Lepisosteus oculatus: one gene and its partner. The protein of the gene in region 1 interacts with the protein of each later gene in a biochemical or structural test. Links are inferred from orthologs where the notes say so. Each region holds a gene or a part of one and is shown on either strand. Other genes may lie near its edges. The genes, in order: tln1 and itgb3a.

Region 1 (7,969 bases):
TTTTTTCATGATTCCTCTTCTGTCATTTGAATTCTACTATCGTTTAAAAGCAGAAATGATCATATATCCCTGCAGCGATTATTAAAAAGCAGCCTATCAGTGAGGAGCAGGGCACACTTCTGTCATGCTGAAACCTGCTCCCATAATCTTTATCTCTAGAGGCAACAATTCTTGCATTAGAGAAACTTGCATTTCTCCACAATGCAGCATACATGTGTGTATGTACCCACACACAATGACTATCAGATTTAGTGGACTATCTGAACATCTTATCCAAATCGAACTAAGCAAGGAAAATTAAGAGAAATTAGTAGCTTATGTAAAAAAAACATATCCACTTCGTAACATGGTAGACTTGTGGATGTGTTATATTGGTTTAAAACCATTATCCTCTTGAATGGGCTTTTTTTCTCTCTCAGATGCAAACGTACATGCAGTTTTCAGTACAAGTTGAGAAAGGAAAGGCATTTGAAACCAGCTTCTCAGTTATGGGACTAGGAAAGTGTGAAACAGGAGTGAAGAGTAATGAAGAAAGACTTTTATGAAAGAATTTTAATGAAGAAGAGACACACAAGATGGTCAAAGCTTTTTACAGAGAATATAGGCTGAAATAGACTGAGAAAAAAACTATGCAAACTTTAGTGGTAACTATGAAGAGATTAAAACAACTAAAAGAGAATACAGACTTTTACAATGTCTCTAACTCCTTTTCTTAACCTGCACAGAACTCGACATACAGCTGACTTCAAGTCCAAGTCAAAACGCACCATATCAAAGGAAACCGTGAGAAGAAGTGCTTGAGAAACCATCTTGACGAGGAGGGAAAATCTGCACTTGTACACGAACAATATATTTAATGATTAAATGAGGACTAAACCCATTAGATCAGTCACCAGAGCAAAGGAGGTCACGGGTTTGGACAAATGAAGTAATGTCTGCTAGCCAGAGCTCCAAAAGGAAACAGTATGTTACAGATAAAACAAAACAAATGCTGTGCAGTACCTGCAGAGAGACACAGAGATGGCGCTAAGAAGGTCTGAGGTTTTGTCAGCACAGAATCAAGAGTTGCAATCAGAACACAATGAGGATGTGTCAGTATCAATGCATTCTCTAATGCTGTGCAATAGCTTCAACTAAGATTAGGTCTAATTAAGGTGAAGAGTTTTAGTGTAGTGCTTGTAAGCACATTACATATACTTCTTATACAGAACTAGGCAAATAAAACCCAATTGTCTCTACAAATTTTAAACACATGGCTACACAAAACCTAAATTAAAAAATAACAAAAGGTTCAGGAGCCTGCAGATGGCTCCATTGGTAAAGATACTGGCTCTGTGTGAAGCTGGTGCTCTATGATCCAGACATGAGTCTGAGTTTAGGCCATGTCACTAAGCTCTACTCTGACTGGAGATTCTTCAAGCTACGAGACTCTAAAAAGGACAGGGTTGGGATGAGTGGGCCTGGGGACTGCAGTTTCATCAGTGACTTCACTAAGTGACGTGCCTCTCCTCCAATTGCTGTTAACCTCAGGTACATCCCTGTGGAGCTTGTCATGTGCCGAAAGAAGACCAGATAATTGGGGAAGCAGATCAGAGGGGCCCATCTGTCCCTCTTCAATCTTGTGCAACTGCAAAGGAGTTATTGAGCCGAGCAAGCCAAGACACTAAAGACAGAATTTATATAATAAGAAAATAACTCACAATAGCATTTTTCTAAATCAGAACAAAACCATTTAAAACTCAGGGCTTCCGATCTTAACTCCATTGCGATTTCATTGGATGAGAATGACAGAAACCAGAGGAAAGAATGACTTGCAAATACAGTACATGTTCTATGAAAGAGTCAGGAGTGAATGAAAATAGGAAACAGCACCCTGCTTAGATTGAGACAGTTGCATAGGTTTACGACGTTACTATTGTTACGGAGGTTAATGGTATTTAGATGATAAACGTTTGTGGTGCAAAGAAAAAACACAAAACTACACATCATTGGTGGTGGTGTAGGGGAGTCCCCATTACCTGTAAAGCGCTTTCTGTGGAGTGTCCAGAAAAGCGCTATATAAGTGTGTTATCTATTTTATAGTTGTATATATAGACTATATGTACAGTATGTTTCATACATATAGATGCATAACATGTGATAGTACCTTTCTTTTCAGCTAGTTCTCAATCAAGTCTTATAAAAAAAACATGTACTGTAAGTGCATTTGTTTAAGTAAGGCATACCTTTCAGATATACAAAGCATACAAAAATATATTATCGTTTTACTGACTGAAAGGTTTGATTTAATATAATTAACATACTAATAATTATTCAGGTTGAAAATGCTATTGGGGATTATTGTTGTTAAAGCGGATTTCAAAAAGCCCACATTTTGTCGACGAAATGGAGGAAAAACATAATGGATAAAATAGTTTTAAGCTATAAAATACACGAATCTTTATAGTTACAGTGTTAATTCATTCTCAATTTTAACTTTCTAAAACAGAATAATTTGAAAAGTTCTAACTTCCCCTTTATTGTGAATTACTGTAGCTTATCAGATTTTCAGTAGTGATCCTATAACTCTGTTTCGATTTCTGACCTACAGTACAGTACTTTGGCTACTCACTCCCTCCTAAGAGACAATGTTACCTTTTCCTTGTTATATAAAGTAGTAACAAACAGGATATCTACACCAAAACTCTGTTCTCATAAAATAACTTATTATGTTAAATCCTATTTACAAAACGAGCCACCACCCCTGCCTTCGCTTAAGGTAGTTACACTGTCTCCAATCAATGCTCCGACCGATCAGCAACAACGTAAAACTCCTTAAGAAGGTGTGATTAAACCTAGGCCTCCGACTTTACACACCTACGTAGCTATTATTGCAAAGGTATGCAAAGATTTGTATTTCTCACTCACCTAAAAACACAAATGTTTTAATCATTATGCAGTTGTGTAACACGAAAACCCGAAGGGTCCCACGTAAGGAGCCTACAAACACGTCTTCTCTTCCTCCTTCTGGGTTTACTTCTCTTTTCTAGATGGGCTGTTTCCTTTTTACGTGCCCTACAGCAACATAAATATCCAGCTTCTTCTCCAAAGCCTTATTTACCCACGAAGCCCTCGATAAACGCCAGAAGAAAGGTTTATAACACAAATCCGACAAGTTGTCTGCTATTCAGCCAATGAGAAGCTTTCGTTGCTTTTCCTGCCTGCTTGCACTGCTCCCTTCAGTCCTTACGAGTTATTCATTTCAGATTTAGAATAAAAACGAAACTCAACTTGTATTCTGAGCGTTTTCCAAACTACTGCGATTTGTTTAGGGAAGTTTTGGAAATGCTTCTATACTAAAGTATATAAAGAAGTTTTAAAATATCCGGCCACATATCCTGGCAAAAAAACTAGCCCTACAGGGCAGTTTTACAGCAAAGCAAGTTGTCCTTTTGACATCGGAAGAGACTTCACATTCAAAAAAGGCAGTACAAAACTTTTAACCTTTAGCCCAACTTTGCATTTACATGAGCAAATAGGATTTGTACTCACCTCTTGTGATTTGTTCTCCCTGGTCACGTTTCCACTTTTATTGCTCCAAACAGAATAAATATCCCTTTTCTCCCCCAGCCCTCCGAGATGTTCCAACTGCTGGTAAATGTCAGATTGTGATTTTTCAGCTCCCTCCCTGCTGAGTTCAGCAGCAGTATACAAACTCCACCCAGCACAGACACAGCCCTAAGATGTGCACACGACGTCGTGATGCAAGCGGAGGGGCGGTTAAAGGGGACAAGGGGAGACCATGCTTCTCCTGCGCTTCACTGCTCTACAGATCTGTCCAGAAAATGATACAGTTGCTTTTCAGGGAGACCTGCAAGACCGAGCCTCGACATTTTGTTAACCCATGAAAGAATGGGTTTCTTCTAAAGAAACAATGGCAGAATGACAGCTACAACTTCATTAATGCTTGGTAAACTCACACCTGGGAATTTACCTCAAAATGGGAATGTTTTGTTTTAACATATACCCAAGACTATTAATTTTGAGACCACAATTGTCAACAACGTCCTAACGTTGTGCGGTTAAGATCTTTGTTTCTGATCTTCCCTCGGACAGGGAGTGGTTTTGCTTGGTTTAACAGGTTGGTGGTGGATTTTGCTATGATCTGAAAACCACCCTAGTTTACTAACTGCACCGGAATCGGGATCATGGATATGAATTAGCAAGAGCAGTGGTCCAAGTTCAGATCCCTGTATTAGGTATGTATCTCTGTTCTGGATGCCATCAACTCCATACAAGGCCAGCGTCTGAGAATAGTATAAACTTGGACTAAACAGAAAAAAATCACAAGCGTTCCAGAAGCAAGAGTGTAGCTGCACTTCAGTTGCTCATGACAGTTAAAGACTGGCTTTGCTTGGAGTGGCGAACAGTTTGAATCTCTCCAGTATTGAGTTATGAAATACATATGTACACACTAAGAAATACACTACTGCATTCTTCATATGAAATGCAGATATTGAAATTGATGTAAACAAAAATATACTGGAATATGCATATTCATTAATATTGTAAAAGATTTATTTTACTGAAATTTGGCTTTAAGCGGCACAGTGGCATACTGGTGAGAATTGCTGCCTTGCTGGGGCAGTGCTGGGGGACCTGGGTTCAATTCCTGGTGTGCTGTCTGTGAGGAGTTTGCACGTTCTCCCTGTGCTTGTGTGGGTTTTCTCCAGGTTTCCTCCCACACTCCAAATACAGTACTTGTTAGTAGGGTAATTGGCTTCTTGAAAACTTGTCCTTGGTGTGAGTGTGTGTCCTACCATTCACCCAGTGCTTCCTGGGATAGACTCTGGGCCACTGTGACTCTGAATTGGATATTGACATATTGAAAGTGTTGGTGATAGTGATATGTTTCCATATCAACCAATAAAAGCTACAGACGTTTGTGTTGAAATAAATTTGCATGCTACTGCTCATTATCTAGAAAGCATTTACAAACAAGAGACAGTTAAATCAAAATCCTTATACCCTTATTTAATACTATTTTAAATTGTAATTAAATTTGAAACATTTCAATGATTCAGTTCTGATTTGTTATAGTTTTAAGTTCTCCTTGCCTTTTAAGTAGTGTTTGAAGTGTTTACAAGGCTAGTTTCTGTTGCAGTAAGCACTACAGTCCCACCTAGAGGCCATCCAGTGCAACTAGGTTTCGTAAGGCATATTAGGAATAAAATGAAATACTATTTTGGTTTTCCAGACATTTCCAAAGCAATCTGTATTTTCATTTTATATAATTTCCCACCTCAGAATTCAACCCAACAATACAGTTGCTGCCAAGGCCATTAGTGACTGCACTGCAAATGCTCTTGAAATAAAACATCAATTGCTTAGGATGTGTCAGCTGCAACACAGTGGTTGTGAGCTTTAACTATAGTGTACTTCTGGTTAAGACTTAGTTGCTTCAAGATGACTGGTACTGAATTAATTAAGTTTAACATCATAAACTGATAAACTGAAGACTGCCCTTCAACACTATCACATTTTCAGACAGATAAACAAGATTACCTGGATTGTGTTGTAGTGAAAGCTTACAATAAAATACATTGAAAATGTATTTTTATAATGAGAGAGGCGCCCTGGTTATATAACATAATGGTTGTTTAGGCTCCTGGTTTAAAAGCAGTATCTCTTCAACCCAACGTGTTTACTCTTATTTCTGACTAAACAGCTATTAACAGGCGATCAATGTATGATGAAAAGACAAGTCTATAAAACATTTCCTCAATAAGTGTTTTTTTTCCTAATTGTTCAGATTTGAGACAGAACACCTGAATGGAGTTCTGATATTCACAGATTAATACAGGGTCCGTACCAATGACAAATCCAATTCAGTGTTTCAAGAGTTGAAATCAAATTTGCAACGATGGCCAGAGTAGAAAATTAAAATGAATTAGACCGCGATTCCCGAACCGGCAGCTGAAGGATACACCAGAAGGCATCGGGTTTTGGAAACGCAAGGATTGGGTCAGAATGCAGAGTGGGATGCCATATGGCACAATAAATTCCTCTCCTGTAAATATTTAGCACACCAGCTAATACCTGTATGTCCTGTAATTTCCCATAAAATGTATAAAACAGCACATCAGCAGCTCCAGAAGATGACTTCTCCTGACCATCTGTCCAAGAGGCAGCAAGGTTCTATGAGGTGCCCTAAGTTTTGGGAGTGTCCTGTAACAGGGCACTTTCAGTTGTTCCTGAGGAAAAGAACTTTAAGGCAGGACCTGTGTAGCTGTGCCACTAAGCTCTCACCTGCTCAGGCTCAGTGAGGACTTGCACATTACTATCAAATTTCGGCCACAACCACTGTTATTCGCAGTTGAGTGCTTGGTGGCACAGCCACACCAGTCGTGTCAAAAAGCACTTTCATCTCACAGCTGCCAGAAATTTTGACCAGGTTTGGTGGTGTCTTGGATACCCTTAAACTGGACTTGGATACATTCATTTTCAGACATTATTCTTGTAGAAAGACTTGATTGTTTGCTGCTACAAAAACTGTGACAGTCTGATCTGATACTTTTCATCACCTTGAAAATTTATTCAATTACTCCCCTTTTTTCATGTTTTTTAAATTGTTTTTTCTAAATCAACTATTGCATCAAAATGATTAGTAAGTTATACAAAAGAGGCAAGGCATCTACTGTACGTGAGGAACCACTCGTTTGTTGACATAACATCTTAATGTTGAAGATTCATCTTCAGAAATGTTCTGAAGTATAAGTGCTAAAAAAGGCATACAGTCATTACACAGTAATTACGCTTCTTAAAAGATAAATCTTTATAGAAGCTGTCATTTTTTTTAAAAAGAGGATATCAAAAATTGACTTACTTATTTTTACAAAAACATTATTTTGCATCTTAATGTTGAATTACAATACCTAGTCCTGTTCAATTCTTTAAGTTGAAAGATTAAAATGCCAATTAAGTATGCCTTCGACGTTGAAGCTGTAGTTCTGAAAATATTATGAGCACCCTTTTTAAAAAAGTTACAACAGTTTGTAATTGACTAGCATGAAGATGTCTTCTGTAATTCCCATCGTTCCTTTTTACACCATCTTAAAGCAAACGAAACACAAGCACAAATAAGCTAACAGAGTTTATTTGCTTTCAATTTTTTTTCAAATATTCATTCTGTTGTACATACAGAAGTCCTATCACCAGAGATCACTTTATACATAGATTTTTGACAAGAACAGGACAGTTAATTAGAAAGCAATTGATTCTATATATATAAATTACAGTTAGTTACAGTGATAACTGTACATTACACACAAAAAATCTTAAACTGTAAACAGCCTCATCAGAATAACTATAGAAACAAAAGTTCTTGGCTACAAAATTAAAAAAAGAAAACACTTAATTATTATTATACATTTCTTACACGCTTACGGTAAGGTTTACAGAAATGTGAACCATTTGTAATGAGACGATGACAGTCTAGTTTCTTGCTATTAACCCTGCCTGTTAGTTTTTCCATTGTATTTTTAGTTTTTGCACTTTTGTTTGTTCCTGTTTATTGCAGGAATAATTTGGAATTAGTCTATAATAAAGAAAATTGATATTTAATCGTCTATTCCCCAAACTCCATATTTTGTTAGTTCAATGTATTTCGAACAATCAGAAACACTTTAAATATAGAAAAATATTATTCATCCAAATTCATCTAAAATTAATTTACTATCAATCATTATTTTATTGAAGAAGTCTTTCAAACAATTTCATAGGTACTTTGTCAGAAAAGTTCCAAAATGTGCCAATTCCCTTTTAATATTACAATACTCATCTCTGTGACTTTAAAGACCCAAAACACAGAAGCAGTAACAGCTTTGGCTTCAGCCTGAACCCATAGTCTTAGTTGAAAAATGAAAGCTTTGCATCCTTTTTGCACAGCCAGCAGGAAGGTGAAATGACACCTTCATCCTAACATGAATAC
Region 2 (7,881 bases), on another chromosome or scaffold:
GAAAGAAGAAACTGGGGAGTCAGATTTGTTACCTAGCAACAAGAGACCAGTATATGAACAGCAACAGATGGTGAGGAAATAGTTATTTCGGAAAATAAGAAGGGAAAGGAGACACCAAGCACCAGAAAGGGAGTAGCCGTTACCATGTAACATGAGGGATTTAGAAGCCTAGCAACAGGAGCCGAGGGAAGAAGTCCCTTAGCAACAGAGATTTAGAGCTGGAACAAATCACAACTTTACCTAAACTACCACCATTTCATTATCTGGATCTTGTTTTTAATTCCTGATCAAGTACTGTATCATCTAATACCATAACGTTATAATTAAAAGATATGAATTGAAGTTGGAATACTGTTAGCACTTGCACAACTAAACTTTAGAGATTAGGAGTTTAATACTGTTTCACTGAGTGAATGGCTACTCATAAAATGTACACTTACACCTGTAGAAGATTACATTAAAAAAAACTTAAGAGGTGGATATGATTTTACATTTTGATTTAAAAAACCCACAAACTACACCACTCTCCAAACAAAGCAGTGTATCATTTTAGAATCCCTGAAATGATTTTTGAAAAGGTTAGAAAGATCATTCGGAGCACAAAATGCACACTGATTCTCACTTCTCTTTCTGCATCGTTCCATGTTCAGAAAAAGTGAAGAAAACAAAAATTCATTGAGACAAATTTAGATACAAAATTGCATTTCAACACAAAAGGAATGTAAATTAAGAGATTTAGAAATATAAAGAGCAATATATATCCTGGTTAAGAAATGCTGTGGCACATCAGATTAAAAACATTGTTATATACAGTAGTGTGATAAAACATTCAAGAACCATAGAGTTTCTTTTTACAATAAAAATCAAATAATATTAAGCCCTTTGCCCAGTTTGATCAAGCATGCATTCTAGCCTTGCCTGAAGCATCCTAATAAACCCACTGAAGCCATTGGTTTCACTGCAATATTCATGAATAGATCCAGGCCAGTAACATTTTCTGGAGATAAGATCAAAATAGATTGTTTCATACACAGACCAGGCAAGGTTTAAATAGCCTTCAAATTAAGAAGTGCAGTTATTTGTATCATTTTTATTGGCTTCAGATAAAGAATAGGGCACACATCATGTCACAGAAAATAATGTGGGTTCTGGAAAAAAACCCCACAAAAGATTCATTTCTTTTCAGTCTTAAAGGAACGTCGTGCATAGACAGGCTTTAAAAAACAGTTTTTTCTTCTTGGAACAATGGGAAAGTTATTCAAATATTTAAAGTGTTCAAAGGCAATAACAGTCTTAACTGTTACATACAGTAATGTACTTCATAATTAAAAGCAAAATCCAGACCATAAATGGACATTTCAAACTGAGAATAGAGTCCCTTCCTTATGTAAACGGTTGTGGAGACATGGAACTAGCTGCCCAGCTAAATTAGAGCTGAATTTGACCTGGTTTATTTTAAAATGAGACCAGATGATATCCATAGATCAATTTGATACTAGCAAACAAATTAGCTAAATAGACTGAATGACCTACTCTTACTTCTAAACTTTCTTGTGTTCTTATGAATGGAAAATATATTATGGGTGGGATATCACTTTGTTTTATCTCCTCATCCTTTCACAGAAAATGACATCCCTGAGAACTACACCTGAGGATAAAGAAATTAAAAGGACATGAATGAGCTAATATACTGTATTAGATAGGTTTTAATGAAGAGCGTCAGAAAGACAATGGCATTTTCTATGGCTCATTGAGGAGTGTGTGACACTTAACAGTTTTCCAGTTCTTTTGCTGAGAAGCTAATCTGTGGGCTCAAAGAAAACAAATTTCAGGAGTGCAATGTGCTCTGCAGGTAGTAAATGTTCCCTTGAAATGCTTTATTGAATTTTATAAAGCACACACAAGCCATGTGTTCTTGTCTTCCTCTGATATCAATGTGTTTAAGCCAAGTTAAATCACTGCTATTGTATTCATTGTCCTAGTTGACCATATCTTGGCCCTAACTTTTTGCTGGTCTTCTTTAGTCACCAGAAATGTACTTTCATGCTATCTCTATGTTTTTGCTAGTTTCTAGTTGCTAGTGACCATTTATTTGCTAATTAAGATAATTCAACCGTCAAAAAGGAAGATCTACATACTTCCTCTCCAACTCTTCCACCTGATGGAGCCATTTTCATTTGACATACAGGTATACAGGTATACTGTAGCAGTACCTTACAGTACAGTTAAGGAACCAGCAGAGGTTAATTCCATGCAGTCAGATAAAGAGTAAAATTCACAATGTTGTTATCAGGTGAGTGAAGGTTGAAAGTGACGGGGCAGGAACTGAAGGGATACAGGTCTGACGGAAAAAGAAATCGAAGGTGAAAAGGGCAGCAATTTATTGCTTGGGGCAGTAAGGCAAAATCCAAGGGGAGGTTTGAAAGGCAGGCATGTGTTAATTCAAAGAATGAATGGAACTGAAAAAGATTAGCCAATTGTTTTGTGCAGGGGAGTGTGTGAACCTAGAGACTGTTGGTGAACTTGGCCTCTTGTATAAGGATTTGAATCCTTGTGATAAAGAATGATTCAAAAACATTAGTTATCTACATAATCCTAGTTCTGTAAGTTTTACACATGGAGCCTGTCTGGACCTAACATAGATACAGTAGGTTACAGTGAAAACAAAATGCAAGTGATACACAATTTGTATTTATAAACATTGTTCATTTAGATTAAGAACCAAGCCATATTAAATAATGAATAACAGGGTAATGCACATTGGCCTAATTGATCTAATTAATTAATATCCGTTTGGCTTTATTTTTAACCAGATCAGTATTCATGAGTGGAAGATGGATTGAATCTTCTGCAGTTACTGTATGAGCTTTTGAAACAAGGACAAACAGTTGCATACACATGTAAGAAAAATGTTTTCTGGTGTATGAATTGTTGCATAAAATACAAATATGTATTAATTTCTCAAAGTTAAACCCATTTTTGATTTTTGATTGTGTCCACCCAGCCTTGGACACAGATACTAGAATGATCTTCAGAATAATGTAGATGAATCTTGCGAAGATTAAAGAGGGATGGAATAATTATTTGTAAAACCCAAGTATTTTGCATATCTGAAACTAGAACTTTTTTAATGTGGCACTGTTTAAAACACTAAACAAAAATGTTATCCCATGCATTGCAATTTGTTCACCTAGATGGACATTAGTGACACTGTTTCCCATTGGCACACGAAGCAGAAATTAAAGACGAGGGCTCTGGTTTTCTAGCAAAAATCTTAATAATTCACTCAGGTGTCTAATACGCTCTGCAAAGCACTTCGAAGTCCAGCACCTATCAAATTTGATTAGTTTGTGAGGGGAAAAGAGAAACTGGAAATGAGAGAAACATTAATGCTTAAGGTGCAATCAGAATTGTAAGGGCTTTGGGTACCGGATTGCAATGTGATTCCAGCACATTCGTGACTGTAACTTAGCAACCGCAGGGCAGAAAATAGAAAAGGGAATGGAGAATAATTCAATAAGAAGAGGAATACGCCAAAGATCATAGGGAGGCTGTAGTGGTTAGACTTCCATATTGGAGTCAATTTCGTAGCAGCGCTTATGGAGATGTGCATTGATCTCGGTCATACAGAAAACTGCCAGTTACTTTTCATTGAGATAGCTCTTGTTTCCACTGGCACATTCGGTCCTGGGTTACAGTCACACTTCTTAGGTGAACGATAAAAGTCTGAAATTTTGCAAAGCTAAGCTGGTCACTGGTGGCACATGGATCGCTCACAGTACACGATATACTATATGTATTCTGATAGAACCAGTAATATCTTATTACTTTAATCACTTTAATCTAGTGTTTGGATACCTTCAGTAAGAGTTCATGTACAGTATATACAGCATTAATTCCCATACAGTATGTGTTTCTATTGTGCTAACTAAATGCAAAGGAAATGTTTTGTGTAGCTTTAATTAGAATATTAATATGACCACATTGTAAGTTAGCAGATCATTCATTATGCGTGAGTTAAGGTTCATAGGCTGGAAAGTCGTCGGTTCTGTTAGCTGGGCTGGTGATGTACTTCATTTTGGCCGCTAAAGGGCAGCAGAGCAAAGGCAAGGGTAAAAGCGGCATTTTGGTCAATTGCTCTTCAAACAGAACAGCGTGTGAGCATTTGTAGATAAACGTTTGCGAACGCAAAGTAGCACACTCAAATGTATTGATCTTTCTAAGGTCAGATATGAATGACTGACTTAATTCAATGTATTATCAAGACAAAAATCTGAACTCTTAAATATAAATACACCATGAACATATATTCGTTTTGTAAAGTAATATGGATTTAGAATATATATGTTACCTATTGCAACTCCAGTTGCTTAATTTGCACAGTACATACAGTACAAAAGCGCTATTAGAAACGCGCCGCTATTTTTGTGGGACGTTATAGGTTGCTGCTATTAAGGTACCAATTCAGGATTATCTGATCAGAGCCAGTGTGGTGTTGCTCCCAGACAGCCGGTACAGCCCCTTTTGTGCCCTGACTCGTGCCTGACTAAGCCGCTTATTAGCTCACCGGAAAGACTAAAACTTCGAATCTTGTACAAGTTATGATTCACTTCTCCGTCCTGGACCTACTGAGGAAGAGAGCGTCATTTAAAGTCCTGGAGTAAACCCGACTCTTCTCACAGAGACGCGCAGACTCACTTTAAAAATGGGGAAATTCTCAGAGCGATTTAGGAAGACTTTTTGGACATTATCCTTACTCTTTTTTATGTCTTTTGAAGTTTGGGGTAAGTTTAACAACTTTAGCTAACTTTAGCTTTTTTGGTGCAAAGCTATACACTTTAGTTTACCTTCCCCTGTCGATGTGTGCATTTGTATTTCGACAAACTAACATTCCTCAAGTATGCATGTGATGTCAGTTGTTGTTTTTTTTTAGATTAATGAATATTCACTTGCATCCTTTTCCTCCCACATTCTGAGTTTTCATTTTTGAATATTCTTTTACGTCCTGCTTCGAAAAAAATATTAAAAAGAGCAGGGGGTTCTTTTGTGTTGAGAAAAATGTTACCACTGGAAAGCTAGAATGATACATTTGTAGTTTTTATTGAGGTTCTGTTATTGGAGGGGGTTGATCAAGTGGAGCGCCTTGGTTTGGTTTTGGGGCCATTAAAATGGTAAATCAATGATAATTATTGCTATCATCAGCATTCAAAGGGAAATTACAATGGACCAGTCTGAAGTAAGGAGACTTGATATTCAAAAATGTAAAATTCCCTTTTGAGCCTCAGGTTTGTTTGCATCGCGGTGCCGACACACCTAACGTTTTTAACATGCTCTGTCCACACTGAATAATGTTTGATCGAGAATCGAGATTGATTAAAAATCTCGAAATAAAATTGGTTTGCCTGCTCGGTTTTGTTTGGAATAGAAAATAATTGTTCTTCACCCTTTCTATAGTTTTTTTTTTAATAACATACAAACGATTATATTGCCAGCTTAGTAAAAGCTATTGACTTTTTGGCAATTCAAAAAGCTCTTGATGGATATAATTGTTGGGCAGATCAGTACCCAAGAGAGCATGATATATTTGGAATATTGTACAGTACAGGATGTATTGATTTGTTACAATTAATAGATCTTTTTCCAGGTCAAAAAGACAGTTTATTGAAAGTTTTTATAAAAGGTCAAAGAATGATGCTCTGTCCCAGTTCATTGTTGTTCTGTCTTTGAGCAGAAAGAGGAGACAATATGGCAGTTACTTTGGTTAAAACCTCTTTGCTGGGTTATACCATATATTACATGATTACTGTATACTTTATCAAACTTGGATTCTTTGTTCTTTTTGTGCATTTTATCTCTTTCAGATGCTCAGTACAATTACTGTACAAGAGATTCGCTGTTGCAGTGTCTTTATGTTTAAGTTGTAGTGTTTTCTTGTTATACCTCCCAATTTGGAATCACCTTGTGACCATAAACTCAGATAACCACTATGATCCTTGTACTGTATTAGCACAGTGTGCCACCCCTTCTCAGAAAGATGCCATTGAGCTACCTCTTTCACGACCTATACGCCCCCAGTTAGCAAGGGAAGGGAAGGCTGATATAGCTCTCACTGGTAGCTGCATATATAAACCATTATATTATAAATTGTATCATCAGGTTGAGGAAGATTCCTATCTTAGATAGCGTGGCAAGGGGTCTTCACATGAACCATCTAACTGTTTGTTTCCCGGATAACAGAGGCAATAACCCCTCGGTCGATTCCGGTTGGCCAGGTACGCTCATTAACCGTCTTCTTATTTACCGGCGTCCTGACCCGGAAAACGACCGAGGCTGCTACCCATTTTAACCCATTACAAGTCCTCTCTGACTTGTAGTTCTTATCAAAACAGTTATCTCTGAACTGACTCTTTACTAACTCATGAGGGCCCATGGGAGAGAGAGAGAGAAAAGAAAAAAACACCTCTGACTGGCCTAGGAACTGCTTTTATAGGGAGCTAAAGTCACCAGGTGCAGCCAATTGAGTGATTTCCCTGTGAGAATCCGAAGAATGTGGTTCTCCTAAATGGATGACCCCGCCCCTGGGGAATTCGCCTTTTCAGCCTTTGCTCTGCTACACGGGTATTCTAAATTATGATAAACTAGAAGTTTATAATCCCAGTCAAGTGACAGGGATCACCACTGGATGCTAATCAAAGGACACTTACGCCCACTCAGCCCTTTTGGAGTTCAGCCATTTGTGTGGCACTGCTTGGGGAATCCCAGTCACAGCTGGGTGATGACAGCAAAATCTGAAGTGTATGATTCAACCTTCATTTCAAGAAATTGGCTATCATTGTAAAGCCATTTGGAAACACTAACCCATTCACATTTTCACTCAGACATACAGAACTGGAGTATTATGGATATCAACCCACACAAGGGATATTAGTGTGTACATATAGTTTTAGGAGGTTTACCAGTATAAGCATTTAGTGTGGTAAATCATGGGATTGCGATTGCAAATCAGTTTGATGAGACCCTTTTGAAGTATGATGGCACTTTTGCAATATGAAATACACAGAACAAGGTGGCATTATAGATGTAAATGTTTATTGCCCTACTAGTACAGTAGTCTGTCAATGATTTAGAATTAGAAAATAAAGTGACTTACTGGGCTATGATACAGATTGATTTAGAGGTCTTTAAAGCACAAAGTCTTCAAAGCATGATTAATGGAGTGAATTAAGGTCTTTTGTAGGTAGGGCATTTGTTCTTGTGTGTACTTATTATTTATTTGCTCATTAAACACCCTTATCCAGGGTGTTTATACTGTACTTACAGTGTATACATTGTCTTAAAGTGTTCATGTACTTTTACATGAAGTGTTGGTTCAAAGAAAACAAACAACATGATTCCAAGCAAGTATGGAAAAATGAATTAAATAAATGATGCAAAAAAACAAAACAGATCACAAACAGAACTGACAAGTATTGACACAACATACAGTATGCAGTACTGAACAGTGACGCATACACCCTGTTGGTATTGTTACAGCTATAGGTGTGCCACATGGCAGAGTAAACACTTTTATCTTCAAAGCAGAGGAGATGTTTGCTGAAATGTGGGGGTTCCCCTGATCAGAAAAAAAATGTTTCCTTGGTACAGTATACCTACTGTAGGTAATTAAAATGTGGGTTAATCATTGTAACTGAGCAGTCCAGTAACACACCCTATGGTCATATTAAGATCACAGAAGGGGAATGAAGAAAAGAACAAGAAAAGGAGAAAGGACAGGGAGCAAAGGAAGGTCAGTCCACAAGGAGCCAGCAGAAACTTGAAACTTGTGCCAGGCGAGAGCCCCCACATGATCATACTGTACAAACAAAACCTCAAAACCTGACT

Evidence for each region.
Region 2: the proteins of tln1 (region 1) and itgb3a form a complex in vitro, tested with the Homo sapiens proteins (6 studies listed by BioGRID and IntAct, with this or other methods). The link is inferred for Lepisosteus oculatus from reciprocal best matches to the Homo sapiens genes TLN1 and ITGB3.

What each region holds. Positions count from the first base shown.
Region 1 is NC_090698.1:26,146,246-26,154,214, forward strand, and holds the start of tln1 (talin-1), read right to left. Parts: upstream 3,684-7,969; 5' UTR 3,532-3,683; intron 3,089-3,531; exon of another isoform or gene 2,908-3,088; intron 1-2,907. UniProt on the Homo sapiens protein: High molecular weight cytoskeletal protein concentrated at regions of cell-matrix and cell-cell contacts. Involved in connections of major cytoskeletal structures to the plasma membrane.
Region 2 is NC_090723.1:2,579,272-2,587,152, reverse strand, and holds the start of itgb3a (integrin beta-3a), read left to right. Parts: upstream 1-4,470; 5' UTR 4,471-4,705; coding exon 4,706-4,784; intron 4,785-7,881. UniProt on the Homo sapiens protein: Integrin alpha-V/beta-3 (ITGAV:ITGB3) is a receptor for cytotactin, fibronectin, laminin, matrix metalloproteinase-2, osteopontin, osteomodulin, prothrombin, thrombospondin, vitronectin and von Willebrand factor.